Linked DNA regions of Daphnia pulex. The protein of the gene in region 3 binds, or shares a complex with, the protein of the main gene of each other region. Links are inferred from orthologs where the notes say so. Each region holds a gene or a part of one and is shown on either strand. Other genes may lie near its edges.

Region 1 (4,422 bases), about 1.5 Mb from region 3:
CATTCGTACTACAAATGGCTGTGGTTATTTATCGTGATAGTTTGGGACCACCTGTCCGTCTTTGTTGGTTTGGAAATCCCATAAGTAAATTTCAGTTATTCGTCTTCTTCCTGCAATAATAAAATTAACACACATGGATTATTTTTCAGTCAAACATTTACTGAGCACACCGAACGTCATTCTGGTGACGGCCAATTTGATTTTCTTCATTCCAAGCGCTCTTAAAGTTCATGGAAGTCTCCGTTTCCTTAAAACTTCTGTTTCGCCCGTGGCTCTCAGCAAATTGGAAAAACAAAGGTTATATCTAAATATGAATAGTTTCATGGTGATGTAACAAATGTTGCTTACCGTTCCTTTTTTTTACGCAGGATTACGACGATATTCCGTTTCTTCTTACTGATGCAGTTTTACACGATACCGAGAATCGTTCACGAAATAGTCGATTCAGACAATGCCACTCCCGAATTGCTCATCTTCAGTATTTCTCTCTACATGTTGATCGGACCGGCCATGTTTTACTTTTTCGTTTGCAAAACCGAAGTTTACAAAATGATTAGGGACCGTGTGGTCAAAATCAAGGAATCTGCTTCACGTGCCACCAGTAATTCGACAAAAATATCTTCGGGCTCCGTGAAGTTCTGGCGCTCACGATCATACCAAACTTCTTCGGATGAATCTCCTGCAATTGAGACCAGCGATTCCAAGCCCTCAAACATTGAGGCAATCAAATATCAACAAAATGGAGAAGACCTTGGAGAAGACAATTTAGCATATACAGGCGAGGTTCATTCAGCCTAAGATTTGGATGGAAAATATGCCAATTAAAGATGCGCGAAAACATACTCGTGGTGATTGGTACAAAAAGTGGTTATTGTGTTGAATAGACTATCATTGAGCTTTCTAGAAATATTGACAAATTTTATATTGCAATCCACTTGATGAAAAATAAATTATGTTTAAGAATAGTTGTCACTTACACTTTTTGAAGGCGTATTTCTCAGAAAATAAAATTTCTTCCACTGAACCACCTAAAATATTTAAAAACAAAAGGGTTGGAACATCCCTTTAATCTCTGGTCAAAAAGGGAAACTAAAAAATCAGGTAAATTAGAGTTAAACGGATACCAAACACGTTGAAATTTGTTTTAAACCAACATTGTAATGGAAATACTGGTGCCGAAAATAGATTACGTTTTACGCATGACTTGTTCAGTAGTTTGCATGTGTTAGATGTCGATTATGCAAAAACCTTTTTTGTATTCTGAAGGACAATTAAAGCAATAATTCATAAAGTTGCTATAACGACAACATCTGTGGTTGAATTTTCAGCCGGGAAATAACTTGCTGTGGCATACAGAATACAGGATTAATAGTTTTAAGACTAGATTCACCGAGAAGAGATAAACCCGCTAAACCAAAGAGGGTGTGAAATGGATCGGGCATGTCATTTGGGCGATCACTAAATCCGCCTGTCTCGACGTCTTGACAGGCCATAATAAATTTTCTCAACTGATTCTTATCAAGCCAATCAACTCGCCCAATAATCCGCAAAGACGCAACTACCCACCAAGAGTAGCAAACATCCGGCAATTTTTCTGGTCGACCATTCAAACCTAAATAACAATTGAGTTACATAGTTTAAGAGACGTCTATTTGAAAGATTTCTAAAAACAAAAGTAATTACCGCCACTCGGCAACTGCCGTTCACATAGCCACCAGCCAAGGCTATCAGCTTTGATCAAATGTAAATGACCTGTAATCGACAGCATACCAACACAGCAATACACTTGACTGAAAAGGTAACCACAAAAAAGAAACAGTATTATTTCTTCCTTTGTAATTATCTCAACTTAGAACTTACCCAGAATGACTTTCAGAGCCAGGTCTGCATCCAAACCCTCCATCAAAATTCATACATGAGATTACAAAATTTACTGCATTATCAATATTAATAGCATCCAGCCTTCCCTGGAGTAAAAATGTGTACAAAAATATGTGTTAATCATAAAAAAATTGCAATCAGTAAATCCACATACCAAAAGAGCCAAGCATGCAACTGCACACATAGAGAACCTTGTATCAACCTCACCCCATTGATCACCACAGAAACTTCCGTCATCATTTTGCAACTTTTTGACATAATTCACAATTTTTTCACAATCGATTGCATCAAGTGCATCATACAGGCACAAAATCTGAAGAAAAAAAATTCAATTTTCAGATGCATATGAAGTGAGTCAACTCTCATTACCAACCTGAACAGCACTCAAAGTGTAGAGAAGGTGAGGATCATGATCTACACTAGCTCCTATACCTCCATTTTCATGCTGGCATTGCTTTATAAATAAAATAATACCATCTCTGTCCATCTCACCAAGTTTGCCCATCAAATCCATTGCTGTTAAACTCCAATAGATTCCATTCATTCTCAAGTACTCTGTCATACAAAATTCATAATCATCCTTATTGTTTCCATATGCTGCCAAGAAACTTGCATGCTTTGGCAGCAACAGATTAGGTATATCAGCCTCCTTCGGTAGCACTATGTCGTTCATGAGAAGGGCCTAGTTCACATGTTCAAATAAACCATTTATCATATCAAAACTGAGACCGGCTTCCTCAAAATAATCATCTAAATATACGTACCATAATTGAAATTATATCTGTTACGCGGGAATGGTTAAGGGGTAGCAAGGGGTAGTGGATAATAGGTTCCAAGCTATCCAAAAATTATGGATTGGTGGATTTTCACTCTTAACAATGAAATTAAAAATTTATTTTGCAAACACAGGCACACAGACCACTTTGACGTAAGTTAAGCAGCATGAGCAGCTGACTGTTAAGGGGCTAGCAGACGGATCTTTTTCGATGCGACAGTAGCGCCATCGAAATTATAAGACATAATGAAGATTTTTAATTTTTTGAAGACACCATTTTTACGTAAATGAAGTCATGATCTCTAGGATAAACAAATTCCAATGAAAAAAAGTCGGTTTATTCAATCGGCAACAGTTTTGGTATGTTTTGTTGTAGAATTCAATAGCCTCTATGTTGTCATCCACAAACCCAATCACATGTGACACGCTAAAGTAAAAGAAAAAAAGAGAATCTGAAAAAGACAATGAAAAAGGCTGAGGAAAAAGGGGGAAAAAAAGGGAAGGAAAAAGACCAAAAAAAGCTAACAATTTTTCACAATAATTTACTCGACTTTGTGGGTGGAAATCATGGGGAAAGAAACGATGCGAAGCTGCGTTCCGTAGTCACAGATGACGTTGTCTCTGACGACCATGACGTTACGAACAAAAGTACTCGAGTCGGCATCGCCAAGACGAACTTCACGGATCGATTCTCCCGTTCGGACATCCCAGACGACCAGGGATCCTTGCCGACTGGTGACAAGTAACCGATCATTGAGCATAGCTAAACTGCCGCACAGAGCCAGACGGGACAAGGAAAGAGAATTGAGCAGATGACCCTGAAATCGCTCCCAAACGCACAGCTTGTCATCGGCGCCCAAGCTGATGACGTACGAGGAGGTGTAAGTCAGGACGGACACGCTACCGTCATGAGCCTGCAAACTGTAGACGCAAGTCCCGCTGGAGAGATCCCACATGCACAGCATTCCGTCTTGACTTCCGCTTCCCGATGCGCTGCAGGGGTAAGCTTCGTCGATAAACATGGCCGTGATGGGTCCGCGATGCCCGTGAAGACAGTAGAGGGCTGTCAAGGTTTCCAGTCGCCAGACTTTGAGGCAATGATCCAGCGAACCCGTAACGACGCGGCTGCCACTAGCCGAAGCGTCCAACACTGAGATGGGCTGTTGGTGAGCTCTAGCCCAGTTGAGCCGGACCAAACGGAAAGCTAATGGAGATGATCGGTCCTCTTCGTCGTACTCGTCGGCGCCACGACGAGAATGAACGTGGTGGCTGACATCTTCCACAGGACTGTCGAAATCGGCGTGAAACTGGAACGACTCCAGGACTCCATTCAATCGGGCAGCTAGAAGATACTCGCCACAAACTTTGAGTTTGGCCACTCCGACACCACTGCCGTCGTCGTAAAGACAACGCAAACCGGAATTATGGCTCCAAATTTCAATGCGTCCGTTGGCACAGCCCAGTGCCACTTGGCCATCGAAGCATTGCATGCACCAGACGGGCGATGGAAAGTAAGACGTTTTATTATTTCTCGTTGGACTAGTTCTGTCTTTCCAAGACAGGTTGTTAGGGCTGGCCGGAGGAGAATGAAACGAGCCCGGGGATCTAAATACAATCGGATTAGAAACGGCGTGACTCAACAGTCCGCCCAGTTCGTTAGTGGATGAGTAAGTATCGTGGCGTGGAAAATTGGGAGAGGCCGGCGACGTTTGTTGCTGAAAAGCGGCGAAATAAGTGTTTCTATCAATTTGAGCTACGGCATCTCC
Region 2 (4,494 bases), on a different chromosome or scaffold from region 3:
TTAGCATTATGTTGTAATAACGAGCCCTAGACAGGTATAACAAAAACCGCTATAACCTTAATGGAACGGCGGGTGATACGCGATTTGTTAGTAGGAATAATAAAACAATCATTCGAAGGTGATGAGAAACAGGTGTAGGTATCTATCAAATCGTGCAAACATCAAATTTCAAAAGATGAGAAAAAAAATTAAGTAACTTCGTGACTCTTACAATCTTATGTGTAATTATTTCTGAAACCCGCCTCTTTCTCCCCCAACACACTCTTTCACTCGCTCGACTTTGTTATCAGATACAAATACAAATTAAATCTCAAGATGAGATAAAAAAATTCGTTTTTCAGTCTTTTATAATTCTCATGCTTTTGATACCATCAAAACAGCACTTGGAACTAATCCTAGCACATCGAGTGGCTTCTCGAACTCTTCTTCGGTAAATACTTTTCTAGGAAAATTTGTTTGAATCCGAAATGGTTCCGGCACTCCGGCATTTACATCGGTCCTATTCATTTGAATGAAGAGACGAACTGAAGCTAGCTGCTCCTTAGCACCAAATGTTTGCGTCATTGTCGATCCATTTGGAAGTCTGGAAGAAATAATAAAGAGTTATGGAAGAGGGACTTGCGTCATCCAGAATGATTTATAACCTTATTTGGATTTTCGTCTCCTTATAGTCCTTGGGCTGATTGGGTGTTGTCGGTGCCGGAGCCGGAGCCTGAACTGGAGGAGCTACATATGGCGTATTGGTTGCGTCACCGGCTTTCTGTTTTCGTGCCAATTTATCTTGTTCAATTTGTTCTTTCACTCGCTGTCTGGCTTTTTTCTCTTCTTCTTTTTCGCGCCTCCGTTCTTCGGCAATCTTTCTTATTTCATCCTCTTCGAATTTCTTTTTTATATTGAGAAGCTCCTTGCCTGACTGTATTCTTCTTTTTTCTTGCTCCAGTTGTTCGGCCTTTTCTTTCTCTTCACGTTCTTTGCGCTTCAACTTCATCAACTCCTCCACTTTCCTCAGTTGTTCCTTCTTTTCTTCTTCAGTGAGAGGCTTCTTTTCATCAGTAGATTCTGAAAACTGGCTGTGACCGGTTTTCGCAGCATGAAATTCTACCTCTTCATTTGTGCGAAATAGTCTATTACATCTAGAGGAAATTTTAAAAAACATATGTAAGAAATTCAATGGTTGACTTGAGTTCCATACTTACTCATCACATTTAATAGATTTGGCAGTAACAGCAGCCATTTCAGCATTTGATGCTTCAGGTTGAGCAGCAGCATTTGGTTCTTCCTCTTTCATTTCTTGATTGTTGTCAGTTTGTTGATTGAATTTCTCACTGTTCACAATCAACCAATCCATTGCAGCTTCAATATTTTGGTCTCCAGTTTCTTTAATAGCCTTTTCACTTTTCAAATTTCAAAGAAATATAACAAAATATTAAGTTGCCATTTAAAAAATATAAAAGGTATGAATTATTTGGAATTAAAACTTACGCTAACTGTTCAGAAAATCCCATTTCTAGTAACAGTTGAAGATTTGATGACATTTTCGGTATTTCGTTCTTCGAAAAACAACAGAACAGAGGTATGTCGTCCGACTAGCGCTAGCAATGTCAGTATGTTATTAAAAAAGTGACGATGAAGCCTCTTCTGTTGGTGTGATTTTGCCCCAAAGATTTTTGTAAAATTTTGTGTTTTTTGTATTGAAATTTACATTGAAACCAAATGTTTTATTTCTCAAATTATTATTAATTCTACTAAAAAAGTGTTTACTTTCTTGCAATTAACTATAATTCAATTTAGCAATCTGATTAGCGCCAAATTAGCGCGGGGAAACAGCTTATTTTACGTTTATCCGCTAGAGGCGGTGTATTCCGATGCAACAAATGGGTTCTTCGGCCATTCCCGTTGTTTTATTGAACTTTTTCTCTTGTTGGTTGTCACTTTTTGCAGACTTCTATCGGATCGGATTTAACCGCTTCTGAGGAAAAACTCAAGCCGTCCACTTGAACCTTTAGTACTAATTAACAAAGGCCTCTCCACTTATCAGTAAGACGATTGTTGGAGGATCTTATATTTACTAGTCAAATCTAGAAAAATGGTGAAGCTGTATTCTTTAGCGATTTTACATCGCAGCGAGCAAGGGTCACCACAGCTACTTAGAGCGGCTTACGACCTCTCAAGTTTTGGATTTTTTCAACGAAGCAGCGTTCAAGAATTTATGGCTTTCACTGCCAAGATCTTGACTGAAAGGACAAGTGCTGCGTCCAGACAATCGGTGAAACAAGGAGGTATGTATGCAAAGAGTCATCATAAAACTCAATGTACATTATAAATTAAATGTTATTTCTTTATTGCAGAGTATATGTGTCACATTTATGTGAGAGCAGATGGACTCTGCTGTGTTTTGACGGCAGATCATGAATACCCACAGAGGGTTGCTCATACCTTGTTAACCAAAGTGAGTGCTACTTGTATGTTGGTTGAATTGAAATGATGAGATATTCTTAATTACAAAAGGTGCTTGATGATTTTGCTGCTCGGGTGGAATCATCTCTTTGGATAGAAGCAAATGCTGCCTGTGCAGCTTATTCTGGATTAGAAGCATCTTTGGCAAAATATCAAAATCCCAGAGAAGCAGATGCTCTAACTAAAGTTCAAGATGAACTAGATGAGACTAAGATTATTTTGGTAATTTAAGTCTTAAAGTTTCAATCTGTTTTAATTTTTTTTTAACCAGTCATGTTTGATTGTCATAGCATAACACAATTGAAGCTGTATTGCAAAGGGGTGAAAAACTGGATGACCTTGTATCAAAATCTCAAGGACTGAGTGATGCATCAAAAATGTTCTATAAAACAGCTAGAAAAACAAATTCATGTTGCAATTTTGGATAAGTTCTCAAGAAATGTTTATTTGATCACATTCTTGGAATGGTACTATTACTTTATTTTTTGAAGATGGTCATAATTCACATTCCTGAATGAGTTGAAATTGAAAGACATATGGTACAGTTATAAATTCATTTTTAATTTTTGAAGGGTGCCCAATAATTGCTGTGAACTTTTCTGTCCCACTCTGTTCCCGTTATGCGACAGCACTCATTTTCTGTTTCTCATAAATGTATCATATCGTAAATGATTGTGACGCTAATGTTAGGTATTTCGCTGACGTTGCATGGATTGTCGTCTCTATGATTTCATTTCACAGCTTACATCTGTGCCGCAGGTCCATCGATGTAAAAGAAATAAATTCTTCTTAATCAATTTATCAATTTGTCGCGTTCGTGGTTTATATAGTTTTGTTGCTCAAACCGATTCAAACGTAAACCGCTGAGAAGATTTTTTTTAAGCGGTACTTGAACAAGGTGGTTGCAGAAACCTATAAGGTTCTTGGGCAACAGATGAGAGATGATAGCGAAAGCGGAACAAACAGTAGACTGTGTGACGCGGCTGACGTCTGCTGTGGTCCCTGAATATGTTCATTCTGACCAAGTGTGGGATGTGACTGTTCTCTAATTCAATCTTAAAAATAAATTTCAAATCAACTGATAAGTAGTGACTGGAATAGAAGATGTTATTCCAAGGTGTTAGTTTTCTATTAGTGACCTTAACAACTTTTATTTCGGTTGGAGCTTTGGATGTCACCGGAAAAATTGCTACGAACCCGGTTTGTAAAGACGACGTGACACGTCTTTGCAGCTCTCAAATTCTTCCAAATGATTTGGCTGTTCTTGACTGCCTTCAAAACAGGAGAAGTGATAGTGATTCTGATATCAAAATAGAATGTCATTCTGTATGTTTCTTTTTTATTTTATTAAAGTACTCATTTCAGAATTAAAGGTTACATTTTTAATTTTTTTCTTTTTATAGTTCCTTTGGCAGTTCAAACTAAATCTAACTAAAGGTGACCAATTTTTGGAAGCTGCTGAAAAAATGTGCTCTGAAGAGCTGAAAAATTTGGAAGAATGCAAAGACCAATCGCTTGAAGGCCATAAACTTTCTTGCCTTCTTGAAAACTCTGACTCTGTTGCCCAAGGTAATAAATGATGGCAAAATGACAGAACTATGGTTTAAATGTATCTCCTTAAACTCAGGGCAATGCAAATCATTTCTTGTGAAAATTGGTTCAATCATATTTAGCGATTTTCGCTTGGTTGAAAAATTCACCACTGCCTGCCAGGATGATATTTCCAAATTCAACTGTGGCCGGCTAGATTCTGAAGAAGAAGTATTTCTATTTGTCAATAATTTAAAATTCATTTCTTTATGTCATTTTCAAATTGATAGAGAGACCACAAACAAGGATCTACGATTGAATGTTTGTCGGAGCATGTACGAAATTTGACTAAAGAATGCCATTTACAAACGTTGCGGGTTGCTGAACTCCAGGCAAATAATTTTTATTTCCATTATATTATTAGCCAGTTTACGTTATTTTTACAAATTAATAGGCGGATGATTATCATTTGGATCGACCACTTTTTCTCGCTTGTCGAGATGATCG
Region 3 (4,390 bases):
ATGAAGACGAGAGAAGAAGAAAAGAGGCATATCCTATGCAAATAATACGAATTACAGAGTTCATATGTTTTTTTTTTTGAAAAAATCATTTCTTTATCCTTTCTTTTTTTGATTATGGCTTTGGCAGGGGGTGCGGCCAGCAAGAACAGCACACTGCGCGTTGGCGATCAAATCATTTCAGTCAACGACTGCGATGTGAGGTCCATGTCGAGGATAGAGGCCTGGAATTTGATGAAGAAGCTGCCCGACGGCGCCGTCTCCCTTATCATACGTCAGCAGATTACATCCTCGTAAAAAGAGCGGAGGAGGACGACGACACGAAGAAGGAAGAAAGAGGGAATATTATACAAATAATTAAAAAGGATTAAAAAACAAAAACAACAAAAAAAAAACAAAAATAATAATGCAACACACAACACACTTTCACGACGACAAACCGGTGCACCTCCTTTTCTTCTCCCTACACACACACACACATACACACACACACATTTCTTTTTTATTGTTAGCTTTCTCTCCTCTTTCTTGTATGCAACTGCGGAGGTAATTTAATTAAAGGTAATCTGGCGACCGTCTTTTATCGCCTTCGACTCTACGCAATCTCCTCTCTTTTTACGATGATCCTTTTTTTAAGTTATTTCTCCTCCACCCAGTTTTATACTAGCATTATAGTTGATCTCTTGACTGCTTCTTTTCTTGATTCTCTTATTATTATTATTTTTTTTTTACACTTGAGGTGTTGGGCTCGTCTCCTATTCAATTTGTATATACTTAATACGTATACCAATTCACCAAGTTTTATAGCTTCAAGCCTTCAAGCCTGGATTGCGTGGTATTTTTTATCTGAATTACTGTAATGAAACAACGATTACAAGCTGAACGAAATAAATAAACCGTATCTCTGTTTAAATAGTTTAACCGTCTTGGATGATGGTTTTTATTATAGTAACCTTTATACACAACAAACGGATCCTAAATCAGCAGCATTAGTCAAATTTTACAAACAGAAATCAGACAGCCATCGTCGATGATGCTCCAAATATCTCATTTGAATGGCGTCGACATTGTTGGCGGAGTTGCTATTACTTTTAGCGGGATTGCAACACTTTTCGATGAAGAGACTCTCTGAATGATCTATTGTCCCGGCTTGCAAAAGGAATCGACGATAGTACCACAACGTTTCATGGGCGTTGAAACTTAAGATCAAATCTTGGTTCTTTTGCAGTTCTTCGTTCAGCAGGTTCATGTAGAGCTGGGAAGATGTAGCTGTACCGGTTGAGTCGCCCAATACCTTCCGGGCGATATCCATGTTCTGTTCAATTTTGCCTAAATTTTGCCTGAAATGATCAAGGAGGAATTTTCGATAATGCCAACCGCTATGGTCGGACAAGTGAAACTTTGTCCAAACGTCAGAAATCTCGAATTCAGACGCCCACAGATTGAGATTGAAGCCTTGCAGCTTGAGGGAGTGAGAATACACCCACTGTCTGTGAGACCAAGCGTGGTAGTTGCATTTCATGCGACTGGAGAGCCTATCACACAGAGACAATTCTGTCTCCACCCATTGTGGGTCTATAGACACTTGCTGGAGTAGCCAACGCCTGTGAGAAAGTGCTTCAACGCATTTGGGCTTTTGACTTAGTACTAATTTGCTGAGCAGGAAATCACAATCGCCATCCAAGAGATGATTGGCAATCAATCTCTTTCTCGTGTTCCACAATGTAGCTATGTTGGGATTAAGCAATAATGCCACTCTTGTGTATCTTTCCAATCTCAAATACTCCTTTTTCCACATGGGATCCAATTTGAAACTGTTTTCATAGCAGTACATGAAAACCGTCTTTACACACCAAACTTCAATTCCAAGATTGTGAGAAATATGGATGATTGGTGATCGATTTTTGGCTTCTGTTACTGGAACAACATCAAACTCATCTCTGTCAACAAAAATATAATGAATATAAAAACTAGTGTTTACAAACAGTTGGTGTTGATCACCATAAAGGATGTTGCAGAAAAACCATTAAATTATACTTACAAGTTGGGATCTTTTTTCATAACAGCTTGAAGGTCTGATATTATCCTTTCTTCTAAACAGTAAGGATCGTGAGCCATTTTCTTATAGTCGGAAGGATCTCGCTGCATCCTTCAAAATCTGTCAAAAACAGCCGTTAAATTCTCAATTTTTTCTTTTTCTTTTTTCGACTGCATCATCGATTATTGCCCAGAGTAGTTCAAGTGGCGCTAGTAAACAGAAGCTCTGCCCGCTCTGGTAATCGCAATTTGTAGTATCGATTTTTAGTTATTTATCGATATGTTATCGTCGGCTTCAGACTTTAGATTGAAACCAAACCAAATGCCTCCATCCATTTGCCTTTGAGACAGCGGACGGAATCGTGTTGCAGCTTCATGACGGTGTTTTACTGTTTTTCGCTTTTACATTTTAAAGATGATGAGATATAAATATCCACGCCATTCGACCAAGCTGAATCGAAAGAGAACAATTCTAAAGCAAGTAAGTGAATCGTGAGAGTTTTAAATTTTTGAAAGGTCCATTTTCTAATCTACGTCAATTTATCTTGTGAAAGCATGTCGGAAGATGTTCTGCATTTCTCCACGTGATCGCTGCCTTGTCATGAACTATGAAGATGCTTCTTTGAGAGGGTCATATGCCATTTGCAAGACAAAAAAATGTGATGAAAAGTGGAAATCTGAAAAGGTAATATTGTACTTGTAAGTTAATCAGGTAGGTTAGCAATGTTGTTCTTAATGTTGGAGACAAGTGACATCATATTCCATGCTTCTAAATAAGAGCTTTTGTGGAAAGTTCTTTTAAATTAAGTAAATTTGTGGAGAGTTGTAAATTTTTATTCATGTTACGGAACAGAAATCCACTTCATTCTTTAAAACTTAATTTGGTCTTCGGTCATCTTCTAGTTTAGTGTACATTTCAAGTAAATCATTGGCTTAACTAACTACTAAGTGTTTGAATCATTCATTTTACAGTTGTAAGCCAAAGTTAAACATGACTTGCATGTATTTTTGGTTTTTCTTTGCAAATTTTATTATCAATATTTTTTTCCTTTTCCACCGGAAAATGTTATTGATGTGTTAATGTTACTTTCCTTTGTAGGATTACATGGTCAGTTTGGTGTTGCTGTTCGTTGTGCAGTGGTTTTGCTGCCCTTTTCCAGTTGAGGGATGCACTTCAATGGAGCTTGTGCAGACTTGCAGTTAAACATATCATACTTCAATGTGTTATAATGCATATGCAGTGCCTCATATAGCACTGGGCCAAATTGTTTGAGGACCTTGCCTGACGGCCGTTGATTTTGTAGATGTCTTCACTTGCTGCCTGTACTGGCTGTACGCCTCATGCCAAAGCAAAAGTAATTATGTGGATTAATTAGACAGCTGTGTAACTTTTTAAATATTATACCAAAAGATTTTTAATGATTTTGCATAATTTAAATATCTACTGTTGCAAATGTTTCGTCACCCGAGTTATGTTCTTTAATTATTATTTTTTTGTTTTAACAGCTTTCGGTGGAGATCAACTAATTCATTGCCGTGCTACTGCAATTACGGTGTTTTGTTGCAGCCAGCTGGTGAAAGGTTTGACCAATTAAAATTGAGCTGCTGCATGCTGTCTGTGGTGCCGTTGTTATTGTTGCACCAAGTTTGAATGTTGATAATGTTGATTTTTACTGGCTTGTAATATTTGCGACTATTTGTCATTTGTGTCTCCGACTATGCAGATTGAAATAAGCGAGAACTGTCAGAAGAAAAAGCTTTCTGCGCCCAAAAAATATCAACTTTGTGTCAACGTGGTTAAGTAAGCAACAGGCTTTCTTATGTAAGAATCATAATTTAAAAAAAATATTGTTAACTATAACAAATTCCAATAATCACTTTTACATTAATATTAAATAAACAATCCGTTCAGTACATATTGTAGTCGACTCCCCCTGACTTGATTGATTGGACCAGGTATATTACCCGGTCGTGGACAAGAGTAACGGGTAAAAGAGCGAAAAGTTGTGTAACAGTTATTACGAGAGCGATTAATCATAAAAAGCTGCCTTAGACTCATGACCCTCCAAAAGTATTCATCGAATCATGCGCCTTGCAAGTTCGATCAGCGCACTCCCTTCCTCCTGGTTGTCGCAGCGAGTGAGTGACCACCGGCGGCCGTTGGCTAGTGGTTAGTTAGGGAAACGGGGCCACAGAAAAGAAGGGCGCCCAGATATGCACTTGTGATTTATCTACATCTACACAAATTATCAGTCTTCAGTTCCAGACTTCCAGCAATCTCTCTTCCAAACAACTCTAACGGTGGTGAGGGATTAACCTGAAAAGAGAGAATACTTAGATATAATTTTCAAACCAT

The links. Proteins that work in one complex are often made in the same cells at the same time.
Region 1: the proteins of protein prenyltransferase alpha subunit repeat-containing protein 1-like (region 3) and geranylgeranyl transferase type-2 subunit beta-like are in contact, whole or in part, in a crystal structure (PDB 6O60), measured with the Homo sapiens proteins. The link is inferred for Daphnia pulex from reciprocal best matches to the Homo sapiens genes PTAR1 and RABGGTB. Residues at the interface, in NP_001093136.1 of Homo sapiens: Val61, Lys62, Leu65, Pro66, His69, Leu73, Arg76, Leu97, Asn98, Asp100, Phe101, Thr102, Thr103, Asn106, Lys109, Glu110, Leu113, Ile141, Arg144, Trp145, Pro192, Ser193, Tyr195, Ser199, Ile202, Trp203, Gln206, Val231, Ser232, His234; in NP_004573.2 of Homo sapiens: Lys6, Asp36, Tyr37, Cys40, Met41, Glu43, Tyr44, Ile89, Gly90, His91, Asp92, Asp136, Trp138, Glu140, Phe177, Asp178, Gly182, Cys183, Arg184, Pro185, Gly186, Ser187, Glu188, Ser189, His190, Gln193, Trp217, Glu221, Arg222, Pro225.
Region 2: the proteins of protein prenyltransferase alpha subunit repeat-containing protein 1-like (region 3) and synaptobrevin homolog YKT6-like are in contact, whole or in part, in a crystal structure (PDB 6J7F), measured with the Homo sapiens proteins. The link is inferred for Daphnia pulex from reciprocal best matches to the Homo sapiens genes PTAR1 and YKT6. Residues at the interface, in NP_001093136.1 of Homo sapiens: Glu31, Gly33, Leu34, Ile35, Pro36, Val48, Val50, Glu51, Lys53, Leu54, Gly55, Ser58, Lys135, Tyr191, His225, Ser228, Met229, His230, Val231, Ser232, Asp233, Phe298, Asp301, Leu302, Ser305, Tyr306, His309; in NP_006546.1 of Homo sapiens: Met1, Ser29, Phe30, Phe31, Asn83, Glu84, Pro86, Gln131, Asn132, Pro133, Arg134, Gln180, Phe184, Arg189, Ser193.

The regions. Positions count from the first base shown.
Region 1 is NC_060019.1:10,893,963-10,898,384, forward strand, and holds geranylgeranyl transferase type-2 subunit beta-like, read right to left. Parts: upstream 2,867-4,422; 5' UTR 2,649-2,866; coding exon 2,646-2,648; intron 2,564-2,645; coding exon 2,255-2,563; intron 2,195-2,254; coding exon 2,036-2,194; intron 1,968-2,035; coding exon 1,861-1,967; intron 1,791-1,860; coding exon 1,684-1,790; intron 1,613-1,683; coding exon 1,296-1,612; 3' UTR 1,237-1,295; downstream 1-1,236. Other genes in the region: uncharacterized protein LOC124191180, read left to right, coding at 1-84, 150-297, 369-798; sterol regulatory element-binding protein cleavage-activating protein-like, read right to left, coding at 3,199-4,422. UniProt on the Homo sapiens protein: Catalyzes the transfer of a geranylgeranyl moiety from geranylgeranyl diphosphate to both cysteines of Rab proteins with the C-terminal sequence -XXCC, -XCXC and -CCXX, such as RAB1A, RAB3A, RAB5A and RAB7A.
Region 2 is NC_060026.1:12,910,750-12,915,243, reverse strand, and holds synaptobrevin homolog YKT6-like, read left to right. Parts: upstream 1-1,862; 5' UTR 1,863-2,086; coding exon 2,087-2,279; intron 2,280-2,348; coding exon 2,349-2,449; intron 2,450-2,508; coding exon 2,509-2,679; intron 2,680-2,747; coding exon 2,748-2,885; 3' UTR 2,886-3,258; downstream 3,259-4,494. Other genes in the region: UBX domain-containing protein 1-B-like, read right to left, coding at 355-583, 645-1,133, 1,197-1,394, 1,483-1,535; Golgi apparatus protein 1-like, read left to right, coding at 3,562-3,783, 3,861-4,026, 4,085-4,218, 4,278-4,379, 4,442-4,494. UniProt on the Homo sapiens protein: Vesicular soluble NSF attachment protein receptor (v-SNARE) mediating vesicle docking and fusion to a specific acceptor cellular compartment. Functions in endoplasmic reticulum to Golgi transport; as part of a SNARE complex composed of GOSR1, GOSR2 and STX5.
Region 3 is NC_060019.1:9,415,969-9,420,358, reverse strand, and holds protein prenyltransferase alpha subunit repeat-containing protein 1-like, read right to left. Parts: upstream 2,240-4,390; 5' UTR 2,146-2,239; coding exon 2,039-2,145; intron 1,938-2,038; coding exon 998-1,937; 3' UTR 905-997; downstream 1-904. Other genes in the region: mucin-17-like, read left to right, coding at 128-294.